Linked DNA regions of Canis lupus familiaris. The protein of the gene in region 2 interacts with the protein of the main gene of each other region in a pairwise test. Links are inferred from orthologs where the notes say so. Each region holds a gene or a part of one and is shown on either strand. Other genes may lie near its edges.

Region 1 (4,812 bases), on a different chromosome or scaffold from region 2:
ATAGCAATAGTGTCAGAGTGAAATATAGCAATAGTGTCAGAGTACTAGTCTGCCATTCATATCATGAAAGATTGATGTAAGAAAATTATTCCTAAAAGCCAATGAAGACAAATGACATCACAAGCCCTTGGGGAAGTAATCAGGATATAAATAAAAAAATAAATAACAATAAATGAAAATTAGTTGAGAAGCACAGTCCCAGCTAAAGCATTCTGAAAGCATCACAGATCCAGCTCCGAATTTGTAATCCTAGAGTTCTAGTGACTGTACACAGGGAAGTGTTAAATCTGAACCAAGTAATTAGGCAATCAAGACATCTAACGAGTTCAGTGTCTAGAAAGTATATGTCTATTCTAGATGCACAGAAAAAATGTGAATTCATTACAAGATATTTTTTAGGCCTTAAATTTAGGGGATTAGGGCTTGATTCCCTCCCAGAACCCTAGTTGAGTAAGGCTACTCTAAAAGGTGTTTGTTCACACAACAGTAGAAAGAATGAACCATCAATGTAATAACCAAATGATATTTAACTATAAAACCATCATCAGGTAGGGGAAACACATTAAGTACGGACTTCTGAAAACTTTTATTTTATTTTGTCAGTTCCTTTAATCTGCTCAAAACACCATTGAGAATAAGAATGCAAAGCTTTTCCAGCCCACCTAAAAATAGAAGCTAAAAAGAAAAAAAAAAACATTTTAAATTTGTTATAGATTCTTGTCTATTGATTTTGCGGCACACTGAATCAGGTATAGATGACTGAGAATATCCAAGTCCAACAATAACACTCTGGAAAAAAGTGAACTCCCAAAGACATCTGAGTATTTACCTGATGCGATCATAGACTTACACATTTTAAGTACCAATTATTTGTTCCCATCTATGTCAAATGTTACTATAAATCAAAATTCCTTCTTGTAACCAGGTAAAGTCTCTAGCACAACAGGATACTAGGAGTCAAAGAATGAATTAATTTAGCTTTCAGGGGTTCATTTCCAACACTGTCTCAGGGCTCTTTGGGGCTAATCTGGCCAGGAAGCAAAGTCTAAAGTGGCTTGCACTCTGGGGTAAGCATATTGGTCCTTCACTCCAAAACTGCATATGTCAAAGGCACTCTGCCTAAAAAACTCATAAATGCACTAAAGCAATAAAAAACATAGAAAAAGTAGCTCCATGTTACTGAAAATATGGCCTAGCTTTAGATCATTTAAAATATATGTCAAATTTAGTGAAAAACTGAAAAGGTCTTTTTCTCTCCTTTCTGGAATTCTAATATTTGTTCTCAAACCTTCCTAAATTCACAGATCCTTTTATCACCTTAACAACTATAATAATGCCAGTGAAAGAGCTAGCAGATTCCCAAGAAATTACCTCAAGGATTTTTAAGACACAGTGTGAGGAACATATATTTTCATTCTGGTGGGATATGGCTGTATATACAGAACAACATTTTTAATGTGTGGTCAAAATATAAGTCTACACTGAACATATGTGGAAAAGATATTTAATTGTAAAATAGAAAAGTAGGCCAGAGTACAGTTTTAAGGGTAATTGCTTCTTTATACAGATGGTAATCTAGAAGGGTCTTAGGGTTAAACATTTTCATAAAGCAAAAAGACATTAAAAAACAAAGCAAGAAAAAAAGAGTTTGAAGTTCTGTTTTACAAAAAAAGAATGAACAGTATGTCAGAGTTTAATGTCCATACATTAATGTGGAATTCAACAATATTGTGATGAGAGCAAGTCACAGCACAGACATACAGCTTTCACAGGGAAAAGTAAAAGTTATGTTAGACATATCTATAGCATCACCGTAGTACAAAATTTCTTGTTCTACATACAAAAGCATTTTTTTCCATAAGAATAATTTCTTGGGGGAAATGAGTCCATGAAATATTTCAGAAACCCATATACTCTGAGTATTCCAAAACATTATCTTAAAATTCAGTGCCTTAAAGTGCTTTCATGTGGAAATCATGATGGAAGGCACAGAATACAGTTTCACATCCCCACTATGAAATTTTCAAAAAAGAATAGATTTTGCAGTTTGCAAATTCAAGTTATCTTGTAAGCTGCTCCTTCTAAGAACATTGTCATTCCAATAAAACCAGCTGCTAGCTTACTTAACTTTCAATGACCTACCGAATAAAAGGATTTTTTTCCCCCTAGTTAACTTTCATCATCTGTGTGGGAAAAATACCTATGCAAGTGATGCATTTTGAAATTATAAAACATGCAGAATATGTACAAACAGAAATTTTAAAAAATATTTGCTTCATATACATGTAAATCTACTTGGGTATAGCTGAAATTGAACAAATATAAAAATTTGCTTTCTAAAAAATGTTTTCAGAGAATCTGAGACAACTTAAAGCTGTACAAAGATTTCCTGGGAGAAATCTTCTCTTCATATAGAAGTTTATACCTACAGGAGTAATTCCAGCATCAGTCCACCACATAATTATTACATAACGTTTGGTCTAATCAACAACGATCACCCTTAAAACTGTTCTGTGTCTGAGAAATTAAGGTTCATACTAAAATCAAAAAGAATTCACAAAAACAGTGGCTTATTGTGTTTTTGGATCTCTTCAACAATCTTTATAACTCATTTGGAACTGTAAAAAAACAAAAACTATTTACAGAATTCAGTTTTAAATACATTTCACAACTTCTAAAGTAAAGTTTTATGTTACAAGAATTCAGAGCTCATGGCTTAAGTCCGATCATCGATCTGTAGTCTCTTCTGTTATCCTGGCTTCCGGCGACTGCACCTTGCTGTGTACAGTTCAAGACTGTGTTCTTTCTTAACCAAAAGTAAATTCAAATTATGTGTTCATTTCAACTACACAGCTTCTTTATTAGTCTGAAGACGAGTCATAGCTTCTAATTTTTGTCTGTAGGCCTCTGCTTCCTGCTCTTTCTTTAGAAGCTGCTGTCGGTATTTTTGTGCTTCTCGATTTGCTTCATCCAGCTGTTTCTGAAGAGCTTCTCTCTCCTAATTAAAAAAAAAGGTTTTTTCAATTTTTGCATGAATACATGATTAACACATACAAGCATGCATCCTTCAAGCAGAAAAATCTGTAGGAGCTAGATGTAGCCACCTGTTGATATTTGCGAGACATCTTGCCCTACCAATTCACTGATAATTAAAGCTCCAAATTTTGTGTTCCACGCTATGACATAGATTAGTTTCTGACCTCAAGGAATCATTCCCTAATTAAAAATAAGATTAACATAATGAACCCAGATTGTGGACTTGTGCTTTTATATGTATGATAAAGACTAGTGAAGAGCTTTAAGAGAGAAATATTACCTCTTCACATCTCTGTGATGTTTTGATGTACAGGTATAATAAATTATAAAACAGTTAACACTTATTGAGTACTCATCATGTGAGTAAATAAGGTGATTTCCAATAACAAGCCTCTAAGACAGTGATGATGCCCATTTTACAGATGAGGAAAACAATGCTTCCAGACGACATAGCTTTTCCATGATAACACAACTGGGTTTATGAGATTGTAATACTACTGCTTTTAATACTATCTTCCCCTCTGGTAACAAGCAGGATTCCTCATCTCTAAAATGAAGAGTGTTGTTGGTCTAGATTAGTGTTTTCTAAATTATCCTATTTTACAAACCAATAAAATACTAATTTCTCTACTGTGATTCATTAAATTATACAAATATAAAATATATGTATTAAATTCCTCAATAAAGTAGGAGCTAAACACAAGTCTAGTCCAATAAAAATGACACCCTTTTCTCCTCCTCACTCTGCCCCTATTCAGTTGCCTAAGGGAAAAAATTGCAAAGACTCCTTTCTCACATCTCTAGTACATGGACAAAAGCTCAACCTGCACAGGCCTAAGCTCAACTTCATTAAGAGGCCTGGGACCTCTTAGTGGGATGGGTGGGGGACTCAGGGTGGGACCATTATTGATCCTAAGAGATGCCAGATTCACACTGGACAGGACACTTGACCAGAGGAAACTGAAGGTGAGGGGCGTACTGGGGAAGAGGACAGTAAGGAGGTCTCTTCCACTGCTTCCTCAACTCGTCCATTGTGAACACCAAAAGATTCCCTCCCTTTCACTATTCACATGGTCTCCAAGGAGGAGCAAATATAATACTCCTTCCTTCTTTGATCCTGTTCCCTTCCCCATATTGGGAATAAAGCTAAATCCAACATATATTTTTCCCCTGGATCCACCAAATGTGGGGATGACTGATTACACATGTAGTCTCCAAGTCTTCCATTTACATAAAATGTACAAGAAATGTATGCATCCTTCATCTCCAATTTAAGAAATGCCCACATCTTACCCTGCTACCTACCCATTTTTTACCCACTTCTTACCCTTACTCCAGGCAAGATGGCCGAGTAGGAACGAGTCAGAAAGGACACCCAGGAGTCGAGCCTCAGGTAAACAATCAACACCACTACCTTGGCAGTGAACTATGGAGGACTTTGAGCACACCAATGGAAAAGGTAGGAGAGGGGTGCTGCTTCTCCGGGAGCTAGATTGCCACCTCTGGAGTACTCATGCCCATGCATAAGTGTTTTAAAATTTTACATGTGTTAAGAAATAAGATCTTTTGGTAAGGAAAGTTTTGAATTTGGTAAGAAATATTGGAACACATTCTCTAAGATATCTCGTCATACTAGCTATTCATTAACATTTAGAAACAGCAAGGGATTCACAATTACTCAGAAGATGAAAGCAAACTGAGGTAATCTAACAGGAAATACAGTTTGTTTTCCTTATTGCATATTTTTATTTCAATTAGAATATATCTTCATATAAA
Region 2 (5,826 bases):
TGGCTCATAAGCTGGTGAGATTTGAGGTAGTTCTTTTTTCTCATCCCTGCCCTATGAGGTTCTGTTCCCTTTACCTAAAGCTTGCTTTCCCACCCCTACCCCCACCCAATTCCTGCACATCCTTCAGAAAACAGCTCAAACAACACCCCTGCAGGGAAGCCCCCCTGACCCACTGGGTTAGTTCCCCATCAGAGCACCCCAATGCACCTAACCCTCTTTCTCTATAGATTTACACACATCTGCGTAAACAGCCAGGCTCGTGACACCCATTAGATCTCCAGAACCCAGCCTAGTGCCTGCAACCTAGAATGTTCTTTTTTTTTAAAGATTTTATTATGTATTTATTTATGAGAGACACAGAGAGAGAGAGGCAGAGACACAGACAGAGGGAGAAGTAGGGTCTCTGTGGGAAGCCCAATATGGAACTTAATCCCAGGACCCTGAGATCACAACCTGAGCCACCCAGGCATCCCAGCCTAGAATGTTCTAAATAAATGGCTGAAAATGAGTTCTAAATGCTTGAGAAAGTGACTTCATTCTTTGCAGCTTGAAACAGAAATAGGAAATGGGTGGTAGGGTGGGGAGGGCAATAAGGTAGACTCAGTACATCCACACTTGTCTTGGGTGACACCACGTAGCTCTCAACTATCAAAGAAGCATGGCGGTCCCTCAGATGGCTTTACTTCTCCCTTGATCACAGACCCCACTCCTGATGCTCCAGCCCCACACAGAGCCTCCCTCTGCAAACCCTCCCTGCCCACGCCAGTCATGGAGAGGCACAAGGGTCCCCCGGTCCTGGGATTCCATTTCCAGCTGAAGGAAAGGAGGCACCTGCAGAGGACATCATGTGACCGCCGGTTGGGTAGACAAGCGAGCGCTACGTCATGTGCTCAGAATGTGTATCTGTGAGATGGCAGGACTAGAAGCCTTCTTAGAGGCAATTCTCCTCCACCAGCCTTCACCCACCTTCTAGACAAGGACAGTGAGCCCCCTGGTACAGAAATGGGCTTCCCCAGGTCACGTTGCACTGTAAGGATCTAACTGGACAGGTGTCTGTGCATTTAACCCTCAATTATCCTACAGCTGAACTCAGAGAATGGGACTTACTCATCACTATTAAGTGACATTATAGGGTGTCTCCCAGATTAGCTCCCAGACCCAGGACCGAGGTACTTATTTCCACAGCTGATGAAGAGCCACTTGTAACAGTCAGAATCTCTTTCCAAGAATGACCCTCTGCTGAAGACAGCTGCCTTGCCCCAGGCTGTGCCCTGATCCTAGGGCAGCCCACAGACATGATGGGTCATTGCAGGTGTACAAAACCCATGGGATCAGCTGGATCATAGCTGCATCCTGCCCAGCATCTCCTTCTGGGAGAAGGACACACAGATGGTGTCCCCAGACACACTCTCCAATGACCTTCCTACACGAATTGCTGTCTCAGAGGCTTACCAGAAAACCCAACCACTCATGGCAATGTGGCCAGGGACACGAAGCGGCAAGGCCTCCCCAGAAACAAAATGGTTTCACCAAATATTGAGCACCTACTGAATACCAGATCAATCCCAGCCCTTGACGACTCCCCAGTAAATGCACCCATGTGGTCCATAGCCAAAGGGAGACATTCCAAATGCTAGACCCCCTGGCTGCAAGAGAGAGGGTGCATGGCTGCCTGGCCATGGAGGGCTCCCTCCATCCCCAAGCCCTGAGTGCTCTGTGAGGGCTGCCATGGTCCCATAGGGCAGGAGCATGTACAGGAGCTGCCCTATTCTGGGTGTCACTCATACGATGCTCTGGCCATCTCCATGTGTGATCTCCGTGATTGCTTCTATAGTCCCAAGAGGTAGGAATGAACTCACAATATCCATTTTGCAGAGGAGGAAACCGAGCCTTGGAGAGGTTGAATGCCTTCCCCCAAACCAACTAGCCTGTGCATCACAGCGCCAAGACCGCATCCCGGGTGGCTGGACCCCACAGCCTGGTTCTTGGTCCCCACGTCCCACTGCCCTCCTTCAGACTTCAGAGATGCTTTGATGCAACCTAACCAATTGGCCTCTGGGCTCTGGCTCTATCGTCCATATCTCCCTGGAGCTGGAACACTCAGAGTGTGCCTTTGACTTGTCTCATTCCCCCTTTTTAAAGAAAACCATGTGTTTACTCTCTGATGCCAAAGTTACAACAGGGCTGAAGCTTTGCCAGTGTTAACTTTAAACGTTGGGCAGAGGGGTTAAAACCCTCCCTGGTGCCTGTTTATTTGTGTTTCCAGAGCAAAAGGAGGTCGGCTAAAGAAATGATCTCGGATCTACTGGGCTGTCCCTGCAAGAAGGCAGGGAGTCTGGCCGGGAGACTCAGGCCCCTCCCAGCCTCACCTCTGCCCTCCCCATGCCCAGCTCTGCAAGGCTCAGATGGTCCCCTGCTCCATTCTCCCCAGACACCAAGCAGCTCCCTCTCCTGTCCTGTTTCCTGCTGGGACCAGAGCTCAGCGAGTGGGGACCCTGACAACTGCCCATTTATCTACTGATGTCCCTGCCCCTGCTCATTGAGAGCCACACTCACAGAGGAAGCGAGGGCTCATAAAAGCCAACTGCCCCGGCTGTTCTCATCCCCTCGGGGGACCTGCCCTCACCCGTCACCTCTCTGCCAACCAGCCTAGAGAGCACACAGGCAGCTCTACAAGGACAATGCAGACAGACAGAGATGTGTCCTGCTGCACCACACGTGCACACACACGGGCGAGCGCGCACGCGCACAAACACACACACACACACACACACACACACACACACTCTATGGCATTATCAAAATCATGCTTTTCCATACCCCTCCGGGAGGATGTCAAGAAGAGGCAAGCCCTCCATCCCCAGCTCCCCGGGAGCCCCCGAGAAGAAGCTGCACTCACCATTCTCCCTCCGAGGGAAGATTCTCTTCTGCAAACTCATGCCGTGCAGGGCTTTGAGGATGGGGCTGAGCCAAAAAGCCCCTCAGAGCCCCAGCCAGATTGAGAAGTCCCGGGGATCACCGGCAGCTCCTGGGCAAGGAATATTTGAATAGGAGTTAAAACTCCGAAGTAGCTCCTCGTTAGAACTGGTTTTCCCCCCGGCAGGGAGGGAGGGAAAAAAATCCCTTTCCCTCTGCCAGCAAATCTTTAAAGTCTCACAACGGTTGCTTCCAACCCCTGCCTTTCTTGCGAAGCAAATGTTCATGAAGGCAATGTTATTTCACTGAATCAAGCCCTCAGATCATAAGCCTTTTCCTGTACCACAAACAGAAATGTAAAACCTCAAACTTTCCTTTGGACTCAGACTCTGTTGGGAGCGGACTGAACACAACCCTCTCTGAGGTCGAATGTATGGAAAATGTGCTAAACGGTTTAGATCATCCCAAGCACTGGACTCGGCTCCCCACCTCCCAACTTTTTTTTTTCTTCTTTTTTTAAATGAGTTCTGGTGTGTTTATGTAATTGCAAGGGACAAACACAACACCTAAAATCTCTGCCCAAAGTTGAAGTGATTCATTTTCTCCTTCACACACACACACACACACACCACACACAAACACAGCGCCTGTTTAATCCAAGTGAAAACGCCTTTCATAAAATCTGCTAAGGGCTTGGGCAGAGCGGCTGGTGGTGAATGCAGCCTGTGTCCCCAGAAGGGCAGTTGGGCTCCGGGGAAGGTGGAGGCTGCCTTTCATCAGAACAAACAGAAGGCACTCTGACTCCCGCCCGAGTCGGGACAAGCAAGCATAAAAGAAAAGTGGGCACGAGCCCTGGCTAACTGAGCTGTAAAAATGTTTTCTGCCCACTGTACCCAATTTCCCCTGTTTGCCTTCTCATACCAGGAGATTTTATTTTTAGACTTGGACAAGATGTACTATTATTTTAAGTGACCGACTTGATTGCCGGGTTATATAAATCCTTGGATTCCCCACCGAAAAGACCAAAAGAATATACAATAAGTGGGCAAAGAGTCAGAGCTGGAAGCTGGGGAAGAATGTGATGGTTTTGGGAACGCAGACATAGATGATTGGACTGAAAGGAAAGCCTGATCAATCAGATAGGGAGAAAAACCCACCAGGGAAGCAAGCGACACAGACCTGGTCCAGGTCCGGAGTTACCTGTCACCTGCCAAGAGCCCCCAGTCTTCCCAGGTTAGGCCCCAGCCATGGCCACCACCACCGACAGCCCCTGGACCAGGGTCAAGGCCACCACGGCTCAGGTCCTTGGAGTCAAAGGCTCCCGAGTTACGACCGCTGTGCTCAAACCACGCCCAGGTCACGATGGTCCCTCTACCAACACATACGCCCCACGTTTTCCCATAAATAATCATTCTTCAGACCAGTGCCACAGGTTGCCAGAAAAACCTCTGCTGTCAGCACCTGGAGTAGGAACAGCTCCCTGACAGTCATCCCCATCCTGGGATGAGGGTTGGGATCCGGGCTGGCGTGGCCCCGCTGCCCGCCCTACCTGGCCCTGAGCAACCAAGCAATAGCCCAGGTCCCGAAGCTGCAGGACACCGGGGCTCTGTCACCAGCACCGCGGGGACCAGAACCTGGCTTTGCCTCCTAGCAGGACGCGGCCATAGCAACACAGAGAGACAGGGCTACGTAAACAGGGAACGCTTTGCAGAAATTAAAATGATGCGATAAAGTAAGCTTTACTATCATAGAAAGATGTCTGCATTATATTGCCTCATGAAAAGAATAGGGTGCGAACTGCAGAGTGTATGCTCTATAGATGTGAAAGATTAAATTTGGAGAAGTAAAATTATGGGTGTTTTCCTCTACGAACTTCCCAGTGTCCATGCTGATACCCCCACAATTCAGGGAGCAGCTATACCTTTCCATTCATACCACCTAGAGCACGGTAGAAAATTTTTAATTAAAAATAATTTTTCTGGGCAGCCTGGGAGGCCCAACAGTTTAGTGCCGCCTTCAGCCCAGGGCCTGATCCTGGAGACTCAAGATCAAGTCCTGCATTGGGCTCCCTGCATAGAGCCTGCTTCTCTCTCTGCCTGTGTCTCTGCCTCTCTCTCTCTCTCTGTGTCGCTCATAAATAAATAAATAAAATCTTTTTAAAATAATAATAATAATAATAATAATAATAATAATAATAATTTCACTTTAAAAAATAATTTTTTAATTGAGTCACTGGCTTTAGAACTTAGTCCTAAATAGATTTTGTCAAGTTGATAGTGAGGACTATAATTTTGAAAGTCATGGCTTTTGATCATATGAATTAAGCCTTTGACAAAGGAGTTTTTATTCGGAGTGGTAGGCAGATTATTGACCCCTACATAAAAGGTCCACATCCTGTAGGAGGAATCTTTGAATGTGTTATGGTGCTTGGAGGGGAGTTAAGGTTGAAGATGGAAATGAACTTGCTGATCAGCTGACTTTAAGATAAAGGGATTATCCTGGATTACCCAGGTGAGACCCATGTAATCAGAAGGGTCTATGAATGTGAGAGGGGGAGGCAGAAGAGGGGGTCAGAGTTTGAGAAGCCACAGTGCCAGCTTTGATGACAGAGGATGGGGCCATGAGCCACAGATGCAGCCACGAGCCACGGATGCAGCCACGAGCCACGGATGTAGCCATGAGGCACAGATGCAGCCATGAGGCTCAGATGCAGCCATGAACCACGAATGCAGCCATGAGTCATGAATGCAGTCATGAGCCACGAATGCAGCCACGAGCCACAAATGCAGCCACAAGCCACAAAGCCAGCCACAAGGCACAGATGCAGCCACGAGCCACAGGTGCAGCCACGAGCCATGAATGCAGCCATGAGCCACAGATGCAACCATGAGGCACAGATGCAGCCATGAG

Evidence for each region.
Region 1: the proteins of IL16 (region 2) and GABPB1 interact in binary tests that used the Homo sapiens proteins (3 or more experiments, as listed by UniProt). The two-hybrid records come from large-scale screens. The link is inferred for Canis lupus familiaris from reciprocal best matches to the Homo sapiens genes IL16 and GABPB1.

What each region holds. Positions count from the first base shown.
Region 1 is NC_049251.1:16,528,311-16,533,122, forward strand, and holds the end of GABPB1 (GA-binding protein subunit beta-1), read right to left. Parts: intron 2,999-4,812; coding exon 2,846-2,998; 3' UTR 1,489-2,845; downstream 1-1,488.
Region 2 is NC_049224.1:57,050,603-57,056,428, forward strand, and holds the start of IL16 (pro-interleukin-16), read right to left. Parts: upstream 3,394-5,826; 5' UTR 2,940-3,393; coding exon 2,900-2,939; intron 1-2,899. UniProt on the Homo sapiens protein: Interleukin-16 stimulates a migratory response in CD4+ lymphocytes, monocytes, and eosinophils. Primes CD4+ T-cells for IL-2 and IL-15 responsiveness. Also induces T-lymphocyte expression of interleukin 2 receptor. Ligand for CD4.